2 linked regions of the Drosophila melanogaster genome follow. The protein of the gene in region 2 interacts with the protein of the main gene of each other region in a biochemical or structural test. Each region holds a gene or a part of one and is shown on either strand. Other genes may lie near its edges. The genes, in order: drk and Sos.

The links.
Region 1: the proteins of Sos (region 2) and drk interact in a test that uses a peptide from one of them, tested with the Drosophila melanogaster proteins (2 studies listed by BioGRID, with this or other methods).

The regions. Positions count from the first base shown.
Region 1 is NT_033778.4:13,494,845-13,506,308, reverse strand, and holds drk (downstream of receptor kinase), read left to right. Parts: upstream 1-3,467; 5' UTR 3,468-3,618; exon of another isoform or gene 3,619-4,384; 5' UTR 4,385-4,418; coding exon 4,419-4,496; exon of another isoform or gene 4,497-4,835; intron 4,836-5,300; exon of another isoform or gene 5,301-5,688; intron 5,689-8,419; coding exon 8,420-8,517; intron 8,518-8,576; coding exon 8,577-8,696; intron 8,697-8,775; coding exon 8,776-8,941; intron 8,942-9,157; coding exon 9,158-9,331; 3' UTR 9,332-11,087; downstream 11,088-11,464. Other genes in the region: mars, read right to left, coding at 451-1,709, 1,767-3,273.
Region 2 is NT_033779.5:13,804,564-13,822,737, reverse strand, and holds Sos (Son of sevenless), read right to left. Parts: upstream 8,923-18,174; 5' UTR 8,525-8,922; coding exon 7,433-8,524; intron 7,380-7,432; coding exon 7,022-7,379; intron 6,960-7,021; coding exon 6,037-6,959; intron 5,973-6,036; coding exon 5,124-5,972; intron 5,062-5,123; coding exon 4,171-5,061; intron 4,103-4,170; coding exon 3,469-4,102; intron 3,404-3,468; coding exon 3,360-3,403; 3' UTR 2,914-3,359; downstream 1-2,913. Other genes in the region: b (black), read right to left, coding at 1-56, 590-1,351; CG16888 (uncharacterized protein), read left to right, coding at 9,504-10,013; CG16865 (uncharacterized protein), read right to left, coding at 10,104-10,259, 10,381-10,686, 10,752-10,912, 10,973-11,093; Adat1 (adenosine deaminase, tRNA-specific 1), read left to right, coding at 11,288-12,159, 12,217-12,529; CAH1 (carbonic anhydrase 1), read right to left, coding at 13,084-13,703, 13,771-13,929. UniProt on the Drosophila melanogaster protein: Promotes the exchange of Ras-bound GDP by GTP. Functions in signaling pathways initiated by the sevenless and epidermal growth factor receptor tyrosine kinases; implies a role for the ras pathway in neuronal development.

The sequences.
Region 1 (11,464 bases), on a different chromosome or scaffold from region 2:
ATATGTTAGCAAAGACTCATACCAAAACTAAATTCTTAAAATTTATTTAGACAACTTGAAAAATGCAAATATTTTAATATTAATTTTCTGGAACTCCAAAATTCAAGTTTTACTAGTTGAGTCGCGTAATCAAATTTCTGTGTTGTGATATTAAATTGTTAATTTTAAATTTCGATCCCCTTTCAATAAGAAAAGCATTTCAAATTTATTTATTCTTCTCTTTTTTATTCCTTTAACTATGTCTAAATTATAATCAAGGTAAGATAGATAATTAAAAATAAAATAAGCTTTCATTTTCACAGAACATACTCGTCGAACATTTAAAACGCCAAATGTAATTTTCAACATCTTAATAAATTAACACTTAATGGCATCCGCAAAAAAATATTAAACTAAGAAGATAAAAGTATAAACAATTCCACAACGGACAATTACTGTCAATAGACAAAACTACATAAACTCGGAGGAGGGACGCAGATTCACCCGCCGATTGCGCAGCGTGTACGTGCGAGGAGTTGCTTCATTCTCCTGATTGGAATCCCTTCCCGGATTCTGTTCCAGGGATCCGCTTTCCGTGGAGGCTTCCAGCGACATGTCCTCCTCGCAGTCCTCCAACTTGTCGGCGCCCACTGTCTCGTCGTTGCTAATGTTTCCCTCCTCGTAGGTGAACTGGAATCGTCGTACGCTCTTCTTGGCGCTGAAGAGCACGCCACGGTTCTGGCGTTTCGTGGTGCCGGGCGTCTTGAGGATGGAGGTGCGCGGCTTAGGCGGCGGCGTCTTGGCAGCGTTCTGCTCGGCGGCCGCAAGAATCGCTGATTTCAGGAGCGCATTTGGCGCAATCGACTGACGGCCCTCGCCGGTGGACATGCGGAGTACTGTGCGGGCGGGCGAAAAGGATCGGCGGTTGCGAACTACGATTACTCGCGGCGAACTGTGGCGCGAGGACGTGGCGGGCAGGCCATCCTCCAGCGTTGGCTCCTCCACCTTGGTCTTCTTCATGTTGGCATGGGCTTTGCGGAGGAACTGCTGCAGATTGCTGCTCGGCTTGGCCTTCGATTTGATCTTCATGTTGCGACTTATCTTGGGCTTGGGCTTCGGCTGTTTGGGTTCCTCGGCCACGGCATCCGGATCCAGCCAGTCGTTGGCCTTCCAACGTTTCAGGTTATCGAAACGCTTGTCCACGTTCTCGCTCTGCAGGCGCAGCATGTCCCACCAGCCCTCCAGATCCTCAGCCTGCACCGGTTTCGAATCCTCACTGCCATCGTTTGGCTGACTGTTCTTGCCGGTCGCTCCAGCCTCGCAACGATCGATCAGGCCGCTGAACTGCATCATCTTTTTTGTGGTCAGCAGACGTGTTTGACCGATGGTCACGTTGATCATGTCAATGCCGCCCGTTTCCTGCAGCCGTGCCTCATTCTCCTTGCTGTACGCCTCCCATTCAGCGCAAAGCGCTTGGAGGCGCGTGATCTCGTTTTCCAGCTGCAGTCGGAAGTACAGAACCGATTCAATGGCACGGCGAACTTCCAAGGGCGATTCCTCATTGGACAGGTAGAAGCTATTGCGTTTCTCCTTCTCACAGCGCGAGTTCACCTTTCCCCGCGAGACACTAACAAACGGACTGAGATAGTTGGGCATTCCATTGGATTCGCGACGTGGCGGTGTCTTTGTACCCTCTGGCACCAAAGTGGAATCTCCAGTGTCTTCTTTAACTGAAAGGAAAATGTGAGTTTGAGTTTAAGATTGGAGAAGGCGTATCCCAAACTCACCCGTCGTCTGCTGAGGATCCAAGATGAGCGAGTCCTCCGCCGGCGAATTCGCCACTGAGTAACGCGTAAAGTCGAACTTTTTCTTTGCCACCGGACCTGACGCCTCTTTCTTACCTTCCGGCAGCAACTGCCTTTTCACCGAACTTTCTCCTTCAGCTTTGACCGGTGCCACCGGGCTCAACAAGATGGTGTCGCCAAACGCCTCCAAAAGATGACCGCTGCTATTGTTCGACTTGCACTGCGTTGATGTGGCCTGGTCGATAAAGGGATTATGGATATCGTCTAGCGGCGTGAGAGGCGGTATATCTAGCGTGGCTGCGTGCAGCAACTCGGCTTTGAGCTGAGGAAGCTTTCGCACGTTGTCCTGAAGCCTCGTGTACTGGCTCTTTATCTTGGTGGCCTTCATTCGTATGGAGTGACTTGCTGCCTTGCTGGTCGCTCCAGCTGTGTCCTTGAACTTGGCCGCGGCACCACCTCCGCCACGTATAGGCTGTGGTTTCACGACATTCGCCCGTCGTGTCACTGGTGCCTTGTTTCCTAAAGGTTTCTCGAACGGCTTGGACAACACATTGGGCAGTCTAGCTGTCCGTGGCGCTGGCGGCTCAGGTAATCTTGGCTTTGTGCTGACCACTGGTGGCTGTTGTCGTATGCCTGGCGTTTTCGCTTTCGTGACTGTCGCTGGGGTGGGTCTGGGTATGGTGGTAGTGATCTTTTTCGCTTCAATCCCAGGCTGCCTTACACTGGTAGTTTGCTTCGTTGTGTTGGGAATGGGTCGTGCAGCTGCTTTTTGCCTGGCCAAGGCCACTGGATTGTTGTTCTGACGAATTGCAGGCACTATTTTTGTTGCAGAAGCAGCTGATTTATGCCTGGCCAAGGCGGAAGATGCAGCCACGGTATTGGATGACGGAGGAGCTGCTGCTGACGTTGGCTTGGGTATTGAAGGTTTAATCGGTTCTGCGGCTTTTCCCTTGCCCGTCGGATTGGCAATCATGTAGAGAGAACACCGCTTGGGAGGCTGGAACATGGGAGCCGCCTCCTTCTGCTTTGCAGAAGCCAGATTATCGGGAACCCGAAATGTTTGTGATTTGGGCAAGGCCTTTGATTGTTTTACTGTCGGCACATTGATGGCTGCGCCTCGACGTTTCTGGTCTTGCTGCTTATGCTCCTTGGTCTTGGCTATCTTCCACTCCATGTAGCGTTGTAAGTAGAGCTTCTGGCGGGAGACCTTCGGGTTGGATTCCTTCAGCAGTTCTGCGGGCTTCGTGTCCAGCCGCTCCGGACTCTCCAGTTTGGGTGCCACATTTTCCTGGGTCAGAGCAGCTTGGGCCGCCGCCAATTGCTTTATTTTGACGGGCGTCGGGCTCACGCTGATGATGCGGTTCTGATAAAAACAATCCTCTCGTTTTTTGGCGCGCGCCGCCTGCAACCGATCCCTGTTCTCCTGGCAGTGATTGCGCGGACTCAGCACCAGCGATTGCTCCTTGTACAGTTCCTTGTGGCGCTGCATGGCGACTGCTGTGACGGATGGGCGAGTCAAACTGAAGTGTCCGGTTGGGAATGAAACGTAATGCTGACTTTTCCGGCGAAGCGTCTCCTGTTTTGATTTTTAAAATGGCGAAGCGTCTTGCGGTGTGACCAGGTGAAGGAAAACTACGAAAGCCCTGCGGTATGCCTCTCCCACAGTGTTGTGTTCAGTATATTTTCTTGGAATAATAAAGCGACCCGGCCACGGTCACGCTGCTATGAAAATAAAAGTGAATTACAAATTTAGCAGTAGTAATATGTTAGCCAAACCGCTCCCGCGCCTAATTAGTGTCGCTTAAGCTTGCAGCCACCCTAGCCCTTTGAAATTGTAAGCCCGGCGGCCTCTTTGCACGTGCCAGAGACTCGAAAATAGTTAGCCGCAACTTACGCATATAGAAATATAAGCGCCGCGTGTGTGTGTGTGTGTGTGTTTATTGGGGTTACAAAAAATAAAACAAACAACAACGTCACCGCGGCAGCATTGCCAACAGCAAGCACCCACGCCCTAGATTGCCAAATGTTAATTGTGTTCTAAGCGACACATTTCATATTATTTAAGGCAAATTACTTCGCATAACAACAAGTAATAGCCAAACATCGTCTAATTGCTTTTGCGGTACCTGCTTTTCCCCGAAATTCCAAATCGCAAGCTGCTGGCAACGCTGCCACGCTCACGCACACACACCCACACAGTGGCCGCCGTGGAGAGAGCGGCTCGTGTCTGTGTTCATTCTCTGTTGCTGCTCCGCCTGGGAATGTCGTCGTCGTCGGTGTATTTTTAATCGCTTTCTTCCCTTGCCTTCGCACAAGATATATTATTATTAACCGAACTGAGAAAAGCGCACTGCCGAATATCCATGATTTATCGTTTATATAATGTGCGCTAACTAATCGCGGATTCGTCTCGTTTCGTTTTCATTTCCACAGCACTGAGTAGTGAGTGAGAGAGAAATTCAAAGAGAGTTAGAGAGAAAGAGCAGAGAACGAGCGTGTGTGTCTGTGCCTCTGTGTGTGCGTGTGTGTGGTGCATCAAGGCTGATAGAACTAAATCCAAAACTACAATTGCAACTAAATTTTAAAACAAACTCCGAAAGCGTTTTCTAACTGCGCACAAAACAACACAGCAAAATGGAAGCGATTGCCAAACACGATTTCTCTGCGACGGCTGACGACGAGCTGAGTTTTCGCAAAACTCAGATTCTAAAGGTGAGTGCTGTTCCAAAATCATCAATTCCCACCTCAAATCATAATATCTGCATTTATTCATAGACTTCACACTGAATGGGGGCACGCAAGGGTGTAAGGGGGTGCACAGGGGGACGTGGCAGGTCCTGCATGCATAATCCGCTGCGATGCAGCTGCCGCCGTCCAGGTCGTTGCCTTAACCCACATCCTAGGTTCAATCCCCAGACAGATTTTGTTACTAAATCGCGACCAAACAGACAGCAGTCGCAAAAGCTGGCTAAAGAGTTTCAAAAGGTGCATTCGCAGAAGGCAACACGAAAGGATTACGACTCATTAGCCACCGCAGCCCGAATACTCTTACTAGAACGAAAAGATTCAGTCAAATATATTCCACTATCAGTACAAAATCCTTGTGAAGCATCACATACTGAAATATTGTACATTCTACTCTACATTTTTTCATTTCTCAACTGCACTTCAAATCTATCAAGACCATATTTTTGACCCCATTTAATCTGCATATAGTTGTGATTAGCATTACAAAGTAAGTTTAAAAAATGATGTGAGGAGGGGGTTTCTAAAGCTATAAACATGCATATATGATTTAATCTATATACTATACTTTGCAAATCTAGCATTTTTCACTGTGTTTCCTTGAATGAACTTATTTATTGTTAGCATTCCTATAGTATATATACTATTTCAACTTTCCTTATTCGTTTTCTTCCGAATGCTTAGAAAAACAATTCCAACAGTTTGTAGTGATGATATATTCGATGCCCCCTTTGACTTTGCGGAACTTTGTGGGGGACATCCGATGCTTACCCGTGTTGCTTGTATTCGCTGGCTTTTCTGGCCAAGAAAAAGGCTGCTGGCAGGCTGCGATTCGATCTTTTTCGCCGCCTTGCTTCCTTCCAGGTGTTTGTGTTTGTGTTGGCTCACTGGCTCGATGGCTGGCTGGCTGGCTGTCCTAGGCCAAACCCTTTGTTTTGGCTGGCGAATTTTCCGGTTTCTTGTTGCCAGGGCGCGATGTAAGCTGATTTTCGTTGCTGTGTGTCTACCTTGTCGTAGGTTAGTCACAGCAGGAACCCAGGCCCGTGGCAGGTTTTCTCCCTTTTTGTGCCTCTTTTTTTTGCGCCTCTTTTCCATATGCCGCCGCTGCATTTGCAGCATTTGTTGCTGCTGCTGCCGCTGCTGCTGATTGATGGTGTCAATGACTCGCCGAAGAGGCTTCTTTATCGCCGCCCGAAGGTCAAGTGTGTGCGCTGCTCCCGTCCATTAGAGGGGCTTCTACGCCGTAGATGAGCCCTCTGTCCAGCTGCACGGTCTTATCAATGGGTAAACAATCCGCACTGATAGTCATAGTTCGTTTAATAGCCCATAGTTCTGGGCTCCATTGATGCGGGGGATAAATAGAAATACACGATTATCTCGCATTGGAGATATGTATGTTACGCATATCTGTTCGAACTCCCAGCGCATTTGTTTGTTTGCCAGCGATTAGTCACTTCTCGATAGCCTTATCTGAAAAGATGCCCCAATCCAGCAAACATACAGCAGGCATAGAAGGCGATAGAGAGAGGAGCGCTGTGAATCATCAAACATTTCATTGGGGTTCGTTCTCTTTCCAGAAAACTGGTTTACAGGTCAGCGTATTTCTTGGATATTTGGAGCTCCATTTTCCAAAAAAAAAAATGCCTCCAATTCTAACGGCCTTGTTGTGTGGGCACCAAAAGTGGCCACGTTTTATCATAACAATGTGAAACACACGAAATGGGATTCTGTGCTCAACTTTCGCTTGTCGCGAAAACAGCGAAAAGTGAACGTTCGTGTTGCTTTGACACTTTTTTCAGCGTCGGATTTCCGAAACGACAATAGAATTTTTTCTCTAGTAATTACATAAGCATACGAGTATAAACAATTGATAATAACAATCATGGCCACTACGTGCCTGCCTTCCGAAAGCGCCGCTAAATATTTATGCATTATCCAACAGGCACATTGCACATTGCCTGCACTGAAAAAAAAATGGTGCACTTCCTTATGCAGTTGGGAAAATAAATATGCGATCATGGAATACTTGGAAAGTTTATGTTCTTGAAGCATTTCAGCATATTTAAGTTTATATTATTTCTAAACCCTCTGGTTTTTCCCAGTGCTGAGCGGCGAGAAAACTTTCTGTAATAGACGACGAATCCGTGGAAATGAATTTCTCGGCGGCTGTTTTCAATGAATGAAACAATCTAAAAATAAAATAAATATACGATGAACAATGTCTGGGTGACAGATGCGGGCGGGATGGTCGGTGATCGCGGGGTGGATTAGAACTATGGAGCTATGCCAATTAGTCGGCCAGATCCAGCTGAGCGGGCAAAATCCCACTGCCACAGCCAACAGTGAGCACAATAATTGGGTTTTACATAAGCTGGAAACGACATTGACACCCCATCCACCTCCAGCTCCACATCACCCAAATCCCCTCCACATTCCGACGTGCGAAAATGTAACCAAAAAACTCGAAACATCATTATACGAATCGAATATGATATATCTCATATTTATATATATATATTTGTATCTTTAATTAACAAGAAATCGATCTGTGGGTTAAGGTATTATGTTTGTTATTAACCTCGTATGTTAGTAGCGTGTATAATTAACGATGAGACATTCATGGGGTAATTACAAGTTGCAACTTCAGAAAAGTAACCAACCCTCAACTACACAGTATCAACAGGGGTTTTTTTTGTGGGTGACTCATTTGAATGCCATTCCATTATTCCGACTTGACGAACAAGCTATATTGGAAAACAACAAAGCTACCAAATAAACACTGAACTGCTCAAGGGAAAAATGGCAGAAATCCATAAAGATAGGAATATGCTTTACTTAAGACTTAACTAAAAGTCGAAATCCTGACCTTTGCACAATAAACACATTTCCTGGGTATTTGTGCAACCGATTTCCTTGAGAAAAGCAAACAGATTCCGAAAACTGAAGGCTGCTGGGCGCCGTCATAAGCGACGAGATTCATTCATAAAAGCTCAACTCAGCACCTTCGAATCTGGGAATTCCCAGTGGCCAAGCAAATGGCGAGACCTTTGCAGATAGACAATCTTCAATTTCGGCTGTCAATCGTAAGATATCATAAAAGTAGTCGATGATTACGTAGGCAGCAGCCTGTTGTTGTGTCATTGGCATGCGAAATGGGCTAGGAAAAAGTTCATTAGATAGACAAAAGTGAAATTCGTCCATTCGAGTGAGTGCTCCGTTTCACTTAACATTCTTATCACATGTCGCGGCCATAATGCTTGCCTATTTTTAGCGTTTCGCAAGAAAAAAAAGATATGAGAATAGTGGAGATAATAGATAAATATGTACGTTTCATACCAAACCATAAGCCTATCTTCGCTGATTGCGCACTGACACAGTTTTTTGGGACAACGCTCAATCAACAAACAATTGAAAACTGTTCATCGAATCCACTGGGGAATCGGGCCAGTCGCCAATAAACAAAGCGGAAGAATGTCTCGATTGATCGCCATTGTCTGGGGGGGTTGGGATTAAAGGGGAGTGGCCCTCAAAATGGAAACAACGGAGGCAGGTTCTTACAACAAATTTTCGGGGATCGGATTACTCACTGTGCAGCTGGTACTTTGGTTTCGTGAGAAATGGGAATTAAAATCAGATGCTCCGGTTTTAATAACTTCATGGAAAAACCAAAGAACATATTTAACATTTAACTCAGCCTCATGAAGCTGAATATATGATTGTTTTATTAGGCAGGGGTAGAAGATTTAGGTAATTTTATGCCCATTAAGATCCTTTTTTCCACAAATCAAGCTTTCTTTATTAGTTATTTAATCAAAAATATGGTTCATTACATTTACAAACCCATTGATTTGTATTGCTTAAATTAACTTACATCCCTTCTTTTTACACAGATATTAAATATGGAAGACGATTCAAATTGGTATCGCGCGGAGCTGGATGGAAAGGAAGGCCTCATACCTAGTAATTACATAGAAATGAAGAATCACGAGTAAGTCGAGCCTGAAATTTCCAATATCGAGACCCAAATAATGATCATTTCTATTGTAGCTGGTATTACGGACGCATCACACGCGCCGATGCTGAGAAGCTGCTGTCAAATAAGCACGAAGGCGCCTTCTTGATACGCATCAGCGAATCCAGTCCCGGCGATTTCTCCTTATCAGTCAAGTGAGTTGCGCTTGAATGGCTTCAGCTTTCATATTTATGATTGAAAACCGTATATAATCGAAATTCTTTGCCCCTTCAGATGCCCCGATGGCGTTCAGCATTTCAAGGTTCTGCGCGATGCCCAAAGCAAATTCTTCCTCTGGGTGGTCAAGTTCAACTCCCTCAACGAACTGGTCGAATATCATCGGACGGCGAGCGTGTCCCGGTCGCAGGATGTCAAATTGCGTGATATGATACCTGAAGAGGTGGGTGTGCCGTCCATTCCATTCCATTTTGATGTGATGAGTTTGCTCAGCAAACATGCAGATTCATTTTAAAAATACAAATTTCGCATAACACATTGAGGTCATGTTTGCGTACGATGCCGCCGCCACCGCCCACCCATTTGAACTATAAACAAACAGCGATGCCAAGAGTATTAGATTGGATTCATTATGTCCGAACGATTTTTTTTATTGCAGATGCTCGTGCAGGCGCTGTACGATTTTGTGCCACAGGAATCCGGGGAATTGGACTTCAGACGCGGCGATGTCATCACCGTCACAGATCGCTCCGATGAGAACTGGTGGAACGGCGAGATCGGCAATAGGAAAGGCATCTTCCCAGCAACTTATGTGACGCCATATCATTCATAATAAGATAACTTCTAAGGAGGGACGCCACACACAATCCTCTCCGGGAAACGCGAAAAACACAACACACACCCATAACGATTAGGCAGCATTATCAGCAATTGCGAATAACAACAAGAAGAAACTAAAAAACACAAATTTTAAATATTTATATACAAGAAACGTGGACATAAATTCTGTAGACAACGTATAGAACAACACAAGTTTAAGCCTTTAAGCCGAATGCATTTTTTACGTTTTGACGTTTTTTGATAAAACAATTACATTACGATAACATTACGAAATCGTTTAATAGCAACTGAGTGACACTTTAAACTAGATATGTAAATTTATTTGTGTATTTATAGCTGCGGCCGAAGAAAAAGGCATTTGATCGGAGTTTTCCTTTGCAATCCTTCCGCACAGAGGACGAAACTCACTTGCTACAATCTTGACCGCAACTATAGGCATATGCAAGTATGTCTACATACCAGACCAGGCACTATTATTATTATTGTAAACAAGCGGATTTTTGATATAAATATATAATTTAAGTTCGATAAAGAGAAGTTCTGTCCTGTGCTTTTGAACGTGTGTTGAGGATTTTGCCCTACATGTGCTCTTTAGTTTATGTTTTGATGTTTTCAAGGAGTGCGTTTCGCAGCGAGTGAACACTTATATTATTATGATTATATGATAACGAATTACCAACCAACCAACCTAATGCTTAACACGTTTTATAGAAAACAAAACAAATTCACTATGAAAAGAAAACTTTTGCCTAAATGTCTCAAAGCTGAAGACAATTAAAACAAAATTTATATTATATTATCGTAAATGCCTACCACATAAATTAAATTAATTTTTGCATCGCTGGTTACTATATGCATACATGCACGCATCTATAAATAAATATGTATCTTCTTAATGCAAATTGAACGATATTAGGCCTCGGCTGCACATGCAACTTTTGCGGCGACTGTAAATTGATTATGTGAAATTTTGTCCCTTCGCTTTAAAGTTGAAAATTGTCAGTAATTATAATTTGCACTCTGTCTTCTGACCACAAAAACTCCATGAACGAAAAATGAATCTTGCAAACGGGAAGAAAACATTTGTGACATGTGTAAAAAGTTTCAAACTGCTGCTATATCATATTGTGCTATAAATTATTACTACTACTATTTATATAATTGGTTGAGTGTGCTGTGTGTAACCATTTTTGTCATCAGCAAAGCGAAATAGTTGCACGTTCGAGCGTTTTTCAACTACATAACTATATGCATTAACAAATGTAATGAGAGTTGCCAATATAAAGTAATTTAAACAACAACAAAATGCTAAAACGAAACATTTTAAGCCTATTTTTTTATCTATATATAAATATTATATATCGAAGCAAATACATTTATACATTTTCCTAATATCCACCAAACTAAGAAACACGACGACGATGCCTCATGGAAACAACACATCAAAAATAACTTTTGATAGGCCATAGTTTACATAAGCCGCAATTTATATTGGCCAGCAGCTGGACGCACGACAGTTTTGTACTTTTTGAGCATATTTGCAGGCGTTGGCGAGCATTTCCCGGCCCAGAACCAGTAGTAGCCGCATATTTAAACATAAATTCTAATCGTAACAATAAAGCAGGCAATTGACAAGGTTTAGATATTAACTAACAAGCGAATACACAAATGAAACATTGCATACGGTATGTTAAGTTGAGGACGTAGTTTAAGCAACAAACTGATTTATCTAATAAACTATGATATATACATTTGAATTTGAATGGGCGGCTAAAAGGCCGATATCGATAGACGACCGATAGTAAAAGACTTATAACGGGCTATTAACAGGAAATTGCAAATGTTGATGTTACATTAACAGAGCAAATGATCGTGTCATTGTTAGTCTATACAAAATTGTCATTAATTGAGTTGCTTCAATATTGAAAATTTATTTTTTTTAAGTTGCACAAACAATATCGCTAAGATATTAAATAGCTGTGCGCAAAATGCAACTAACAGAGAACACCAAGACTGCTGTTAAATTGGGTTGAGTCTGGGCTATGTGTTATCGCAAATGGACATCGTTCTTTTCTGGTATTTCATTGCAAGCGCAGATGGTTTATTTTGCAGTCACAATCGCGGT
Region 2 (18,174 bases):
TGCGCGTCCTCCGAGGTGAAGATAATCAGCGGCTTGGCATTAAAGAGTCCGTTTTTCTGCGGATTGAAGAGGTTAATTTCGTATATTTATAAAAGTTAGTAATACTTTTTCTATATAGTATAACTATTTTTATAAAATCGATCTATTTAGAAAAGAATTCCTATTTCAATTCCGTAGATATTCGAGTTTTTTAAAGTTTTAATTCGTTATTTAGATTGGAATTTGAATTGAATTTTTTCAACAGACAAAAATGTAGAAAAATCCTTGAAAAGCACTAAGTTCTAAAATGCATTGTTTTAAAATACCGTTCTCTTTATCAGTTAAATTTCTATATAAATCGAAAATGAACATAAAAAGTATAATTTTTAGCACAGGAAATCATTAAACCTTTTTTATGAACCTAAATATGTGCCTTTTAATCTTGAAACACACATCTTTATAGTTTATTTATCTGATTAAATCGCTAAGAACTTTTAGTTTCACTTTTATATGTATATCACGGGCATGACTAACGATCACTCGCCAATCAGTGGATGCCGACTTCCGCGTGGATTGGCGGTAAACCACTTGGCTGCAATGGGGCACTCACCTTGGACTCGGGCGAGTGTCTGTAGCGGGCGCAGCTGATTGCATAACCGTTGGCTATCGAGCCGCCGGGACAGAAGATGCCATCACCCTGGCCGCCATTGGGGAAGCCCACAATGCGTCGCATCTCGGCCAACACCTGCTCCTCCATCAGCGTAAAGAGTGGAGCCACCTCGTACGTGTACACGCTGGGATTGAGGGCATCGGTGAGCCATTGACCTACCAGCGCGTATGGATCCACACCCGAGTACAACTGATTGATGAAGTACGGATGTCCTGTCTTCACGGAGAATCGAATCGTTTCCCGCAGCAGCTCGCGCAGCTTGTCCTGCGATTCGCCCTGCTCCCGCAGCTGGAAGTCAAAGAGCTGTCGCAGCTCAGCTGGCTCGTGCCACTCGACGACCTTCGAGGAGCGATTGGTGCCCTGGAAGACGGCCAGCTTGATGATCTCGTCGACGCAAGCGCGGATGAAGCCCTCGAACTCTGCCGCCGGATGGCTGGCCACAAAGCTGGATAGATCATCCTTGGTGCTCGTGATGTTGTTATTATTATTATTATTATTGTTGGCGGCGTTGGCCAACATTTTGCTGGCCTGCTCGAATGCAACTGTGGAGGTGGAATCAGCCGGTGACGACGTGGACGCCACCAACGCTGCCGTCGCTGTCAATGGGCTAACGCTTGCCAAATCATCGCCACTCGTCGTACTGTACGGCTTAAATATAGATTCCTTGAAGTGATGTGTGGGAAAGTTCTCGCTGGCCAGCATTTTATTGGCTCTCGTCTGCGGTTTATACTGTAAATGTCTTGGCTAGCGCTCTAGATTTCCGATGTACTAGATGGTACTGTTCCTGGTGCTGGTGCTGCTACTGCTGCAGATTGCACTTGACAGTGATTCCGTGTGAACTGAGTGAACAGGCGATGTTGTTGCCGCTTTTATAAAAGCTCGACGACTTCCACAACTCAGAATCCGAATCCGAATCCGAAACCGAGTGGCGCTTATTACATAAAGGCACTGCCGCTCGAGAGCCGACGCAGGTGCCGATCTCACCTGGCTTGACTCGTGGATTCTGGTTATGCGGCTGTTAGCATGGAAAGCACCTCGTTCCTGCGCAATGCAGAGCACTCAGAGCACCGGGATTTCCCTGGTCCACTCATCCCAGAATCGCAGAATCCCAATTTTGGCTGGCTGTTGGTTAATTGGCTGACTAATTGATATGCTCATGTAACACAATTATTTACGAGCAATTACGGCGCGCTGATTATGCGCCAAAGGTCTAATCTTCTCTAGCAATTTGCCGTGGCGTTTCTCTCTCATTAGCCGCAATCAAGTATGCATTAAATGCAAATGCATTGAATAATTCCATTCTTTGGCCAATTGCTAATTGTGTGAGAAGATGGCAGACTGGCACATACATACTTACATACATAGATTGCCAGTTGGTGTAGGTCGTCGTCTGGCTTCCCGATATCTTGGTCAAGTGTTGCAGGGAAAGCGAAATCTAATGGCGAATAGATATGATCGTGCTCGTCCGATGGCCTTGTCTATAGGGTATGGAGTGCATGGTGCTCTATAAATAAAGGTGCACCCCACCACCACCCCCCACAATTCAACAACGGAAATTCCCCGAGTGTCTGCTATGATGTATTGAGATGTGTTCATAGGACACAATTGGACATGAAAGATGGTCTGTCTTTCCCAGGAATTCCTTTCGGTTTATTCACCCTGGTAACCGCTGGTACTTCACCGAGGATCCAAATCGCTGCGCCATCAGGTGACACATCGCTTTTTGGGGACGGTGGCTGCTGCACACACATAACTCCCCCAAATAACTGACGATAAGGGGCTGGACACGAGCGTGAAAATACGAATATACAAATATACGAAAATAATTCAAAAAAACAACAACCGGTTCCCAGCGGCGAGCAGCCCAAAATTTCAGGAAGCATTTGTGCTCGACGTTCATGACGTTTTAGAAAAGCGAAAGTCAATCCGCGTTGTTTCCAATAAGCGAATGTGTGTGTCCAATTTAATTGCACCTAATGCAGTGAGACAACAATCGCTCTAGTTTTTCCTAACCCACCGAAACTAATTAGCCATATACACAATCTTAATAATGGCTGCGATTATGCTGGACACTGCGAGAATGTCAGGTGTGTTGCAGTCGGATGTCGGTTCACGTCGACTTCATCAAGGCCACTGGGCACATAAAGAATACCCACGATCTTTAAACGTTGGAAAAGCCTTGATAATCTATGCTATTTGCTCAGATTGCCTTGACTTTGGCTACAATACTCTATATTTCTGGTCATCGAAAGATGTCGCCAAGTGTCTAACAATAGGGTTATACTTTATTGTTTTACGTTCTACGATCAATACAATGTTCTCGATATTTACAAATATTTATAATAGTAATTATATAATAACATAATTTCTTGTTTGCATTTCTTGTTGGTTGCTTGGTTGCTTGCTTGGTTTGTGTGTCCTGCATTCCTATCCATATGCGCGTGCCTGTTGTGTGTAAATGAGAGCGTATTTTGTCTGTCTGTCTGTTCTACCTTGTTAAATGAGTGGCGAATAATCTAAATCAGCGGTTCCAACTCGTTTCATACTAGAATACATAAACTGCGCCTACGTATATATGTATATATATATATATATATCTCACGTTCCGTTCTCTCATATATATATCTGCACTCAAGCAGTGCTCGCAACTTTGAATCTTACGGATCATACTCGTAGTTTTCGTCCTTATCACATCGCCAGGCAATTTAAATTATTCTTCGTTTGTACTTGGGTAAAGAAACATCGTACCTTTATCTGCAAACGGATAGGATGGTTGGGTTAGGAAACACGTTATCACGGGCCGAGTTGGTAGCACTCACCTGGATTGTTATAGAAGTTAGCGCTTAGACTAGGTTTTGGTGGAAGTTTGGGTGTGCCCTCGAGGCTCGTGGCAATCGGAAAGAACTCCTTGGGGGACGAGCGCGACTGCGTCGGATTCGAATGGTGCTGGTGCGGATGGTGCGGCAGATGGGTGGCATGATGTTGATGGTGCTGCGAGTAGATCGCTGGATGCGTCTGCTGCTGCTGCTGCTGCCGCATTCGCAGTTGGTGGGCATAGCTGCTCGACGTGCTCTCCACCGGATGGCTGGGAATGTTGGGAGACATGGGCGACATGGCGGGTGTCAGCGGTGATGTGGTCGTCGAGGAGCTTGCCGCTGGCGAGATCGGTAGCGGCAGCGGTTCGTCCGTCGCCACTGCCTGCGACACGGTCACTAGTGTCGTGCTGATGGGTCCCGCCGCCGCCTGGTTTGGCTGGCTAGTTGCCGCTGCCCGCTTCTCGATCGCCGAGTTGCGGCGTATCATAATACTGCTGGTGTTGGGCAGGAGCAGACTGCTGTTGCCCACAAACTCCTTGCTCTTGCCGTGGCTTTGTCGCAAGTAGCTGATGCCCGTGGAATGGTTGAGCCGTGGCGGTATCGGCGGCGGACTGAGTTCGCCATCACGCGGGGGTAACTGCAAGGATACGTAAAATGATTGCTGTCATCTGCTACTACAAATTAGAAGTAAGTGAGGCTACTTACTGTGGGTGCGTCTGGCGCCTGACGCTTTTGCGCCATGTCCGCACAGCTCTCAGTGCGCTCCTTGCGTCTGGGTGGCAGTGGAGGCGGCACTGCTCGGTACTCCATATTGGTGGCCATCGGAACGTTGACATGCGGCGAGATGGGCACTGCCCCCGGCTGTCCCTGATGGGCACTGTTAAAGTAGAATCCACCCGCGCAGAATTCCTCCCCGCCCGATGTAGACATGCCTGTAAGGGTCACGGTACTGGCAGTGCTATGCGTTGGGCTGTTCTGCATGCGCCCATGGAATGGTGATCGATTGCCGGTTTCGTGACGCGGACTGACCACTAGCTTGGGCAGCGGCGACGGTGGAGCTTCCGTGTCCGATGCGAATGGATTGCTGTCCGGCAGGGACTGCGGTGGCAGATGCTCCGGCAGCGCTGGACTGAACACAACATCCATTGCCGACGCACTGGCCAGTGTCGAGTTGTTGTTAGCCCAGACATGCGCGCCCGGTTTCTTGGGGAGATGTGGCGCCGGCACCGAAACCTCCCCGTTGTTCTGGTCCGTTCGAGTGTGCTGTGGCGTTCCACTCCAGCTGCTGGTGTTCCGTTCGGGTATAATAACAGGGGCGAAAACGGAGAAAGCGTGCGGATTGTGCTGCGGACTTTGCTCGCCAGCGAGAGTTCCAGATCCAGCATTAGCTGCTGCTGCTGTTGGCGCATCCATTATGCTGGAGGCGTGCAAAGATGGCGCCGATGCCGTAGCTATTGAGGTGGCCGTTGACGATGCTGCCGCTGCCGCCGCCACGGACGACGTGCTGTTCGACAGCTTGCTACTGCTGTTGGTCTGATTCTGGCGACGCGGCTTGATGCCCGGCGATTTGAGCGGAATGTGCGGCCATTTTCGAGGCTACGAAAGGAAAATGGTTAAATTTCCTATATGACTTGTAAACTTTGAAGCATTATACTTACGAATTTCGGCACTGTCTTGCAGCCCCTTGGCTCAATGCGCAGGCTTTCGTTATAGAGATAGTCGGACATCTGTTTGTCGGACAGTCCGTTAAACGGATCCAGTTGCTCGAAGAACTGTCGTATTGTGGACTCCTCGTTGAGGCAGTATGGCTGGTTCTGGTACTGTTGAATCTCGCCAATAATCTCGGCCACTTTCCGTCGTTTGGAAAAGTTAATTAGCTCTGTGTTGGCTAGCAGGTCGGGGTTACCCTCCTCCAAGTGGAGTATGTTGGTCAAGTAGCGACCGAAAAATGGCACACAAGGCGGATTGATGGATCGCAATCGCTCCTGATACTTTTTGAGATGATCGTCGCTGAGCTCGCGGCATTCCTCCAAGAATTTTCTGTAGCGTTCGGGCAATCCCTGGAATGTCCACCGCAGTCGATAAACAGATGCCGTGCCCATAGCCGCGACAATCGAGAGGATTCCATTAAAATTGTTCAATTCCAGCATCACCATCATCACTTCGATTGCGCGTTGCATAATAGCCAGGCGTTCCTCGTAGTTCTCCGCTTCGGTGATGGATTTTTCAATCCAGCGGGTGACGTTCGTGGTGTGCTTCATTATCTTCAGTAGATTAGGGCTCTTCACCTCCTTGTCCTTTTTCGTCCAGGGTGATCCGACCAACTCAGACGGCTTTACATTCTTGTACATCTCGAATTCCAGTAGAGTGAGCTGACGGGCCAGTTCCAGTGGGTGCAGGGTGAGGAGCGTTATCTCGTCGTTGGGTACACTAAGGTGATGCTCAATGGGCGGCGGATCGTGGCCATAGGCGTATACAATCTTTTTATTGCTTTTCTCCTGCTCGTTCTGTAAATAATATTTGAAAAATGATAACGATACTTCCACATTATGCTGTTGACCAACTACTCACCTTTCTCTGAACAATCTTAAGCACGGAATCCACCCACTTGCGCATCGATTTGCCATTCACGTGCTCCAGAAAGTTCAGCAGCTTCTCCAGCAACATGGGATCCTTCTCGAAATCGTAAAAATGATGGTCGACCCAATGGCGCAGTACGTTGAGCACTCGAAACTGCACTGGCTGCACGTACTCCTTGCGATATCGTTTCCAGTCCTCGCGATGCGAGTTCTTGTGCTCCTTGTCACCGCCAACGCCGCCCATTCCACCCGCACCTGCTGTGCCCGTGTCTTGATAGACCAGGCTGGGATCCGGTATGTTAAAGCGTTCCACCAGCAGTTGCAGCAATTGCTGCGGCGAGCAGAAGTAGCGATATGTGGTGAGGAAGGTGCGCACAAAAGTCGGATCGGCGTAGATGTGATAGGTGAGGCGCTCGATTAGCTTGCAAAGCGTCGCTCCCTTGATCATCGGCACTCCTGCGCTTTCGCGCTCCTCCAACACGATATTGTCACCGCTGTCCGGCACCGCGAACTTGTAAATCTCCGGACTGGGCATCCGCAGCGGATGCTTTCGCTCGATGTCTTGCAATATGCTGTCCAAGTGCCGGTCCAGCATCGACTTGGTGATAACCATCAGCAGGTCTGCCATCCAGTCGTGCTTGTGCTGTGCATTCTTGGCGGTCAGCACAATGGGCGGCTGCATCCGGGGTGCCAACTCAAAACTGTTCTTCAGATCATCGCTGTCCGGTCGATCGTTGATATCCACGCGTCGCATGAAATACTTCTCCTTCAGTCGGTAGTCGTAGGCCGTTGCTCCTGCCGATGGTGTTTGTTTCTTGGTGTTTGCCTTGCATAGCACCATTAGCCCGTCGAAGAGGAATACCTTGCGCTCGCTCCAGATTCGTTTTCCCGATCCAAGTTTGCTCAGCGAATCCTCTGTAAATTTGAAATACCATTTTAGTTGGAGGATGCAAGTAACTTTCGTTGCCAGCACTTACCGCGAATAAATTCATTGCAATTCTGGCCCACGTCCTTGTCCTCCCAGTGCTCCACCTTCATTTGGAGCTCCCGTGTCCGCTCGATTGCCAGCTGGCGGCGCACTCGACCGCTAACCGGAACTTGTCGCTCCTTGGACAGGCTGGCCATTACCTTTTCGAGATCGCAGTGGAGTGGATGCAACAGTCCCTGTACCTGTTCGAAGCTCTCGATGTCGTCCTGCGAAGAGCTGAGATCCTTGAGATGCTTGATGTAGTCGAAATACACGAAGGCATGGCAAATGGGCACCAGAAGCAGCTTGGGCAAATAGTATTTGACCGCATCGCGGAAGCCATGGCCGGCTGTGGTCAGAGATGAGGCCTAAAAGCAGGGATTTTAGTAGAATTCTTCGCACAGAAGGTATCAATACTTACCCCTGGCTTAGACAGGAGATTGTTGAGAGCATCCCGTGAGGCCTGCGAGGTAACGTCGTAGGCGTACTTCTTGTACACATCGAACTCCTCGGCCTCGGCCAGTTCCTCAAAGCAGCTACCGACGCAGGGGGCACTCTGCTCCTGGGACATCTCGATGACGTCCTCCAGGGAGCCGAGCAGAGTGACCGTCACCTCGTAAATGTCCATTATGTTGGAGAATATCGGTTCCAGCTCGCGCGGATCGGACACGATCTTCACCAGCTCCTCACGAAAGACGCGTATGATCATGTGCAGGTCGCGTTGGTACTGCTTCTCGTCGTGGATCAGCTCCTTGACCGTCTCCTCGTAGGTGGCACTTGCACGCTGCGCGGGAAGTGACAGGGGACTGGGCAGGATGTGGGCTTCGCTCTGGTTGAGCATGTCCATTAGCACACGATCGGCGTTCATCACCACCTCGATGTCCTCCTTGGTGATCTCGCAGTGGGCGATCTTGATCACATAGTCGCCGGCCATTTTGAGTATGTCCGCTGAGATGTACTCGAGCACGGCCACCAGGAAGGCGGACACGGAGCTATCGATCTTGTACTGCAACACATCCTTCTGGAGCAGCGTGTGCACCTTTTCCGTGGGCAGGACAGACTTGCGTTTCTTCGAGTTGATCACCTCCTTGGCCTCGTTCAGGGCCCACTGATCGATGGGCGCTGGAAAGGACTTGTTCACCTTCTCCTCCACATCCTGCACGGAATGGGGCAGCGGCTTGGCGCACAGCATGGCCAGAAGCCGCAGACAGAGTTTCTCCACATACAGCAGTGCGTCCTCCTTGGCGGTAACCCGTGGATGCACTTGCTCCAGCACCTTCTTTAGCGATGGCGTAAACAAGCCCCTCCATCTCGCAGCATTCTCGCACTTGGTGAAGTCATAGCCATCGCAATCCTGCAGCCCAGCCACGCCACCGCCGCCAATGCCAATACCACCGCCTCCGCCCTGTGAGCCACTACCACTACCACCGCTGCCGCCGCCGCCTCCAGTGCCCAGACCGATCCCGCCCCCGTAGCTAATGGTGTGGGCATGGCCGCTGGGCCCCGAGAACATTCTGTGCGCCGTGGAGTAGCCGACGAGAGCCTGCCGTGGAGCACCTTCGTTGGCCGCCTGCCCTCCGCCTCCCCGCCCGCTGTGTTGTGCACTGAATCCAGCGACGAGTGGAGTGGAGCGGAACCTGGAAACTGGAAACCTGGAACCGTGGGGCACCTGGCACAGCCGGATCACCCGGGCGAACGTCGCATGGCAGTCACACACACTCAAGCGCACGCACTGAACTCGTTTCGAATCTTGAACGGGGCTCGCGCGTCCGTTTCGTTTGCAAATCGCTTGGGCTTCAGCACTTGTTTTCAGAATATGTATCTTCGATATATATATGTATAATATAATCTTCAACTCAATATAATATTTTTCGCGGTGTGACCAGAGTGCGGCACTGCCTAAATCCAGTAAATGCTCGCGACCAGCCCTGATTCGATGCTTAAGAATGTACTAAAAAATCCAATGTAGAGAGCATTCGTGTTGAATGGCTTTTTTAGCAGAAGAAGAAGCATTTTGAATTTAAATTGCAACGAGCAGGTTTAAAATATATTATAATTTACCCAAAAAAAATGAATTTAATTATCTCTTCAATGTTTATATTTCAAGAAATTTATATTTATATTTATAAAATGTCTTTCCTTATCTAAAATCGTAAGGAGATATGCAACATACATATCGACTCATCCCTTATTTTACTTGGATAATGTAAGATACATCCGCTTTCAACGCTTCTAAATCGAAAACAAGTACAATGTGTTCAGTTGAAACAATTAAACATATGAAAGCAATGCAATGCAACAGAATACAAAAACCAAAAACAGTTAGGGAGCTAGCTTCCAGAAGTCGAAGCTTCTATACCCTCGTATAATTATATATTTGAAAAACAATCCATCCAAAAACCATAACTATACGGTATATAGTATACATATACACATATATGTACACTTTTACTTTGTTGTCAAATTTTCAGTGTATAATACTTCAGGTTTCAATGTCCGCTTATAGATTGAGTTGCATCGGGAACGCGGAATGGGGACCCCATACCTCCAATCGTTCCAGCTCACTATTCAACTCGGAGGCCATCGAACAGTTGCGCGATAAGTGGACCCACTTCTTTTTTAACCTGCCAAAGGCGCCTCTCGAATTGCAGCTGGCCAAAGCCCGAGCGAATCGTGCACTCGAGCTGGTCAGGAGCAAGGAGAAGGCTGCTTTGGAACGGACCGAATCCTCGCCAAGAAGTAAGTGCCGTCCACTCACTGCTCTGCACAACTCGCCGCGTACCACGAATCGAATGAAGCTGATCATGGAGACTCGCGTGCGTCCAGCGATCGTCAAAAAGTCAAAGTCGGAGTACAATCTATGTCCCAGTTGTGGGCTTGTCAAGGACTCGATTCTCAATCACCAGCACGCCGAGCAGCGACTGAAGAAGCTACTGGCACAGCATCCCAGTTTGCTGCCAAAACGACAGCATAGAAGGTCAAACTATTTGCGTATGCTATAACTAGATAAATTGCAATTTTTCTTCCAAGAATGCCAGCCATTTGTGTCGTCAAATATATTTAGTTGTGGGTAATAAGGAGGCAGAGTGTGACTATCTTTCCAGTAGCGTGCCGCGCTGCTTCTTCTGCGGCGGAGGTGCGTCCTCTGTCTTGGTTTTGATGCCCACATCGCTCAATTTTCCGCCTTTGCGCTGCAGTTGCTTCTCGATAATCCTTGCGTTGTTCGCATAGCTGTCTGCGATCTCGCGCTGTTTGAATGAACAAAAAAAATGGTTAGTTTGAAAGAGTTGTAGGTTTGTTCGTAGATGATGCAATGATAGATTGGATTTCCTGCACCATTTACAAACCAACTTTAGCTGACAAACTTACCGCCTCGATTTCATCCTCCTCCTCGTCGATGGTAGACACCGTGACCGAGCTGAACTTGCCCATGTTCTTCGTGTGTCTGGTGACGACGACCTTCTTGCCACTGGCATCCACAATACCCGAATCGTCTGGACCGGCGGAAGTCGCTGGCTTGGCAGCCGGTGCCTTGAAACTGCCCTTGATCTCCGAATTCAGCAGCTGTGTGAGAGGACTCTCACCCTTGTTGCGGATTAGGGCATTGGACATGACGAAGGTTACGTGGGAGTCGGGACTGTGGCGATAGTAAAGCGGCAGACTGCAGCTTCGGCACTGAAGGTTAAAGGAAAACATTAGGTGAACTAATGACGGGTAAGGAGTGGAAGTCAGCTACTCACCTTGTAGCGGTACTGCTTCTCGATCCCATTGCCCCTGCTCTTGCGTTTGATGTAGACCATCCTCGGTGTGGGATTGTGGGTGAGTTTGTTGGCATGGTCGTTGGCGTTTATCACACGGGCGTTGTCCACCTCTCGTAGCGGCAACTGTTCGAGGGTGCAATCTGTAGGATAGGCAAACATGATGTACTATGCTTTCAGTTAGTTGGCTCCAGTAATCTTACCCAGAATCAGAGCCATCTTGTTGCACAGACAGTAGTAAATGTTTAGCGGCTTTTCCTCGTTGTACTCCTCCTGATCCTTGGTATCGGAGCAGACGATACTGCGCGACACTACTTTGGGCATGGTTATTTGTGGGTTTCGGACTTATGAAACTTATAAAATTAAAGTAATTTCCTATTTCATTAAACACCGCAAGTAAATAAATAAACAGTGAGACCAGAGTGTGCAAGCAAAAGGTAAACAATGCAACACGCCAATCGATATTGCTATTCGATTACCGAACTTATCGGTTCGCACATTTGCGAATATAAACAAAAATGTGTGATAACAAAAAACCGACTGTTAAGGAAATTGCGGAACTTTGTTTAAAAAAATTCGAGTCCTTGCCAAAAACAGGAAAGCCCACAGCCAATCAATGGACAATTTTGGCGGGAATCGTGGAGTTCAACCGGAACACGGAAGCATGTCAACTAGTTTCGCTTGGATGCGGAACAAAGTGCATTGGAGAATCCAAACTTTGTCCCAATGGCCTCATCCTGAATGATTCCCATGCCGAGGTGCTGGCACGTCGTGGATTTCTTCGCTTTCTATACCAGGAGCTCAAGCAGGATAGAATCTTTCATTGGAACAGCACGCTAAGTACGTACGACATGGATGAGCACGTGGAGTTCCACTTTCTGAGCACACAAACGCCTTGTGGGGATGCCTGCATCCTTGAGGAAGAGCAACCAGCGGCGCGGGCCAAACGCCAGCGGCTGGATGAGGATTCCGAGATGGTCTATACGGGTGCCAAACTAATAAGTGACCTTAGCGATGATCCAATGTTGCAGACGCCAGGAGCTCTGCGAACGAAGCCCGGACGTGGAGAGCGCACTCTATCCATGTCCTGCAGTGATAAGATAGCGCGATGGAATGTCATAGGCGTGCAGGGGGCACTACTGGATGTATTGATCTCCAAACCCATCTACTTTAGCAGCCTGAACTTTTGCTGTGACGATGCGCAGCTGGAATCTTTGGAACGTGCCATCTTTAAACGTTTCGATTGTAGGACATTTAAGCACACGCGCTTCCAGCCTCAAAGGCCACAGATAAACATTGATCCTGGCATAAGATTTGAATTTTCCCAACGCTCCGACTGGCAGCCATCCCCCAATGGCCTGATTTGGTCCCAGGTCCCAGAAGAATTAAGGTAAGGGTCCTTTTAGCTAGACAGTTTCAGATCTAAACATATATTCCTAACACGCAGGCCCTATGAAATTTCCGTAAATGGAAAGCGTCAAGGAGTAACTAAGAAAAAGATGAAAACTTCACAAGCTGCACTGGCGATCAGCAAGTACAAGCTGTTCCTTACATTTCTAGAGTTGGTAAAGTTCAATCCGAAGCTAAGTGAAATGTTCGATCAACAGCTTTCCGATCCTGAGCGTATCGCCTATGCTTCCTGTAAAGACTTGGCCAGAGATTACCAGTTTGCCTGGCGGGAAATCAAAGAGAAATACTTTCTCCAATGGACCAAAAAACCACACGAGTTGCTAGACTTTAATCCAATGTCAAATAAATGACACTTCGTGCCAGTGAAACGAGGATAAGATGCAGACCAAGCAAGTATTTTATTGCTAAAGTTGGGATGAAGTGGAACTTCTGGTCTAAGCTCCTTCAATTGCTTTCTTGAAAATGTGTAGTTGCTGAAAATGTCCTTATCAGAGATGAAATAACTTCGGATTATAGCTTCCCTTTAAAGTAACTATTTCCACAGAATTGAAAGTCAGTTAGGTTATCATATGCAACATCTAAGCGTGTTATATTTAGTTTATAATACCATAATAACATAAATCTAATTGTCATTTTGCAAACGTTTAACAGACAAACAAACGAACAGGCGTACATGTACAATTAAGGTTACAGCTAAGCATCCACTGATGCGAATACGGATACGGATGCACATATAGGAGGTATGCTCTTGCTGGGCGTACGAACTAAAGACGAGAATTGAACAATGGAGATGTGCCGGTCCAGCTCGTGGCGTACGGATGTGATGTGTGGGTGCGAAAAGCTAATCATACGACACTCGAATCCGTTGACTATCCAAGGACTTAGTTGTCCAACATCCACCGACTTAGTGGCCCCCGATCTCGCGCAGCTCACGCTTGCCCAGCGGCAGCGGAGGACGGAAGTTGTTGATGACCTTGCCGTTGAACTCGTTGCAGGGGCACTCCTCCTTCACGTCGTAGGCATTGAGATTGCGCATGGCGTTCAGCTGGTCGTCGGACACTTCGATGGGCGTCTTGAACACGATCCAGATGACCGACTCCGAGCACGGTGGAGTGGTCAGGGAACCCTCATAGGTCCAATAGGTGTGCACATCGGGCAGCAGCTGGCCGGGATCACAGCCCTGGGGGAGGGTGACGCGATCGCCCTTGTGCAGCACGAACTGCAGCAGGCTGGTCACCTTGTCCAGTTCGGCATGGTGATTGCCAGCCTTAAGGAACACACCCAGCACGGCCAGGCCGTCGGGAGCGGCAGCCGCCTCGCCAAACGACTTGTACTTCGTGGTGTTCCAGTGAACCAAATGCAGCTCGCCGGAATAGGACACGCCGTCGACGGTGTGCTCCGATCCCTTGGAGTCCGTGCAGCCCCAGTGGCAGTGGAACTGCTCCAGCTTAAAGATCTGATCGCCCAGCGGTCCTCCAGTCAGCTCGGAGTCGGCGCCGTTCACATCCACGCGCCAGCAATAGCCTAGATTAACAAATGGTAAGGATTAATATTTCAGTAGAATACAGTACGTTAACTTTGAATTTCTTACCAGGATTGACCAGGCTTTTGGTGTGCTCCGGCACATACTTCCACTTGAGCGGAGCTACATTCAGTTCGCTGCCCTTCTTGGCGCTGGAGGGTGTGATATCCACGGGCGACTGACGATGTCCCGACGCCTGTGGGTACTCCTTGGCCCAGTGGGCAGGTCCTGAAATAGGAACATTGAATGGGGCGGGTAAGTAAACGTGCGGCAAAGTCATTAGGTATTTGCTTTCCCCGAATTTACCAACTTAACTAAGTGCTAATTCGCTGTGTCGATAAGGAACAATAAATCAACTAAAATCAATTCATTGGAGTACTCCATTGGGGTTTATTAAAAACTCATTAGGCTGGTCAGGAAATTGATTAATGTCCGAAAAAATAGAAGCTAATAAATGTGGAAGGAATTGAAGAATTTCGTTTAATCCATTAATTCGATAATTAGGGCGACTATTATATGGTACTAGTAATTTCAGAAGACAGCGAAAATCATTTCAAATTCATTTATTCCTACAATTTGCTGTTAAATTCAAATTATTTCTATTATAAAAACATGAAAGATTGTATATATTTCAACTAGAATCTGGACTTTGAAGCTAATAAATGGGAATAAAAATGAATCAAAGACTTAATATTTTTATGGCTGCTTATACTCGCGATTACCGAAGCATTAAGTAAGATGCTTATTTATGAACATGTCGCCAGAGTTGACAATCGTTTGCCCAACTGGCAGTCATAATAATATTTGCATAGACCTTTTATCTGACCAACCGGCTGAGGCAATACAAGTATTTGCTGTTCCCCTGTTTGCTGCATTTTGTTGCGATTTATGTGCGTGTATGTGGATTCTTCTTTTTAATTACTGGTGGCGCAAACATTGACACAGAGAACCGCGTCACGTGCCAGTAGAATCACTCGGAAGACCGCAGACCCGAGTCATGTGATAGGATCGCTGCAGATAAACCGCAAAAGTTTATGGGAATTGGAATCAGAATATGTATAATATATGATTGTTTGCCTGAATCGGAGCAAATATTGAACCATTTGCCGTTGGTAATGGTACCCAGAAATCGGCAGGGGTTTTCTTATCGAACGGGCAAAGCCTCGTTTGTCATTTGATAGATCGCCGAGCTTAAGGTGTCAACAGCTTTGTAGCTTCCTATATTTATTTCGCCGATTCTCAAAGTCCTTCATAATGCTGATAGTAAATAACAAAAGTCAGGTGAAATGCATTTATCATTTATCAAAGTTGAAATCAAGAGCCTTATTCACCATTCGGGTGCAAAAAGTGTGTGCATGTGACTGACGCAGCACATGGCGTATGAATGTCACGTATACGCCGTGTGGGGCAGCATACAAAGAAGCAGGCAATTGGAGTTGCACGATCCTTTTGTGAGTTAGCAGCCAAGTGCGAATTTACTGCCGCATTTAGCACATTACCTTTTTATAATCAACAATCGAGTTATTAAGATATCTCCGAAGTCGGTACTGTATATATGTATATGTAGAAATAAATATAGTGCGACTCATTTAAATGTATAGGCTTACTTACTGGCTTTATTTACCCAGCGAGTTTGCTGCCGACTTTGGCTGTAAATACTTTAAGATCACCTGGCGGCATTTCACAGTGCCTGTGATAACAATTGGCAGACTTTAATAAAAAAAAAGTAGAAGAAAGTAAACGAAAACAAGGAAATGCCGCACTTGTTCAAACAAAACTCGATCGGATATAACCGGTTGACATTATGGGTCCCTTAAAGCTGATCAAACGAGCCTTTGTTATACGCGTTTACTAACTGCAAAGTTATATGTATATTAAACAATTCATCATCGTTTTGCACTTAATTTCGTTTCAATTCGGATGACATGGAACAAAAGCGAAGCTTTGAAACAATTGTGACCATTAATGCTGCCATAAAATCCGAATGATTTTTTAATTGAATTACTGCAAATGAATTACCCACATCCATTTATAGCGTATATTCGCCGGCGGAAAAACGAAAACCCGTAGCTGTCTGGGAGAACTTGTTCCGGAAACGTTAAGATCTTGATCTCTATATAGAATCTATAATGTATAATGATCGTTCTTACGAAATCCATCGAAAATTGCCCCTGAGTATAGTGATTTCGATTTCTCCGAACATTTAAATACACAAAGCAGCAATTTGAAATATAAAAAAAAAAATTAAAAATATAAAAAGCGCATGTAAAACCGGAGAGACAAATTAAGAAATTCTCGTTACGACAGTGCAAAAAAAAAGAAGAAAAACGCTTAAAAACACGACAAAATAAAATGTGGCAATTAGCATTTACGAATTTACGAGCCGAGCGCTTCTAAGCGAGCCTTGCATGATAATATCATCCCAATTGGATGGAGGCATGAGTTTCTCGCGTGTTTTTTCCCCACTTTCCTGGCGGCGATCGCAAGGAAGTACGGACAAAAAACTCGTTTGGGGAAAGTGCCCCCAGCCGCACCCCGGAATTCCAAGTTCCGAGTTCTGAGTCAGTACCGGATGATATATTGTATAACTGCTGTTCGTGGGGAGGGGGGCCACTTGTCTCTGGGTTATACTGTTTTTTATGGCCACTCAATTGACCGGGCTGAAAGGCAACTACCCCTGCTATATTTATCACCCAGCTTGGCTTGAAGAAGCCCCAGAAATGGTCTCTACCCTTGGACTGCCACGACATTTGGCTATCGACCACCAATCCAAACCATGCAACCCTTCAATCATCTGCTAAAATTTTCGCCAATAATTATTTGTTTGCATGTGGTGGGAAATGGTGACAATAAAGCGCAAATGAAATACTCGAATGGCCGTAAAAGTTTAGCTAACTGAAATGCATTGTGGCCTAATGAAATGTTTAGGCACGTCTGAAAATTAATTGAGCTGTTTTTTCTTGCATGTCCAGATATTTTTCAATATATGCACAAATGCATAAATTATCAAATTTTATTTGCTATATAAAATAGCTGGACTGGCAAGTCAGGTGATACAGTATCTATATAGCTGGCCAAAAATAATATCAATCTGATGATTTTCCTTGCGTGAGAAATCGTTTCGCAGTTCTATTTTTTGCTATTCCAAACCGCCAATAAATATTGACCATTAATGAAGGGGCCTGGTTTCGATCGGACTGATATCTGGCATATCGAAAAATATATACTCAAAGTAAACTTTAGAACGAAACCTTTCCGTATTCCTTAAGTAAGTTTTATCTAACTGCAAAATCTGATAAGTCACGCGAAATAAATCGGTGTGGAACATTATAAATCCATCGATCATTATGACTATGACACATTAATGATATAGACATGTAGTATTTTTTTTTTGGTAAGAAATTCTAGAAGTTGTTAAGGGTTGAGATTTCTAAATGATAAAATAAAGCAAGTTTCGCTTCGATGCAATTGATCCAAGAATAGCTTTGCGAACTAGAACTGGCGATTGAATCAGACGATAGGTGGGACATCTGATTGATCCTCTCACGTAAACACGCGAGTTGTAATCAGTGGTTTCTAGATGGAAGCGTGTCAACCAACATTCAGACGCTTCTGTCAGTGCCCAGGGGTTAGACACAACCTGAGCGTCTTGATAAGGATGGGTCTATACACATGTGCAATCTCCACGAAAAATACGAATATGTATGGCAGAGAGTTTCTCGTGTTTAATGTGGGCATTCTCGACTCTGGAGGAGCAGCATGCTGATAAGGTTCTTCTTGCGCTGGAAAGTTACCAGGGCGGCGCCGGAAAATCAGAATCAAAATCAGAATCGGAATCGCAATGAGTAACAGTATCAGTATCGGTATCAGTATCGAATCAATCAGAGCAATCACAACCAGTTAAGCAAATCAATTGAAATTGTCAAAAACTGAAGTAGTGGTTTTTTTTTCAATTCTAAATTGATATGCTGGCTAACGCAGCCCATTCGATATACATTCTACATGCTAGTGTTATATGCATACCGCACACATAAGATATTACGTATACGCCCAAGACATTGAAACCGGTCCGGCATGTGTCCTCACCAGACGAAGAACATGCACTTGACTAGCCTTCGAAGCGGCGCAGAGTGAGGGGCACCGGGTGCTCCGAAAACAAAAACAGCAAAGACAAGGCGAAAAACAATCGATCGCTGGTTGCTGGTGGTCGGTGGAGAACTAGTTTGCCAGTCGAGGCGGTTGACTCCGCCGGCGACTGGTTGGTTAGTGGGAAGCACCATACACATTACCAGATCACGAGACCCAGCTCGTGTGAAACTCCCCGATCCGTAAAAACACAAAAACCCGCTTCCCTGCATTTTAATTAATGCCCATTATTCATGAGTAACGAATGACCAAGTCTGTTTGTGCGATTCAGCTTATGAGGCATGAAATCGAAGTGAAGGGCATTGCGAGTATTGTGCAATCGAATCA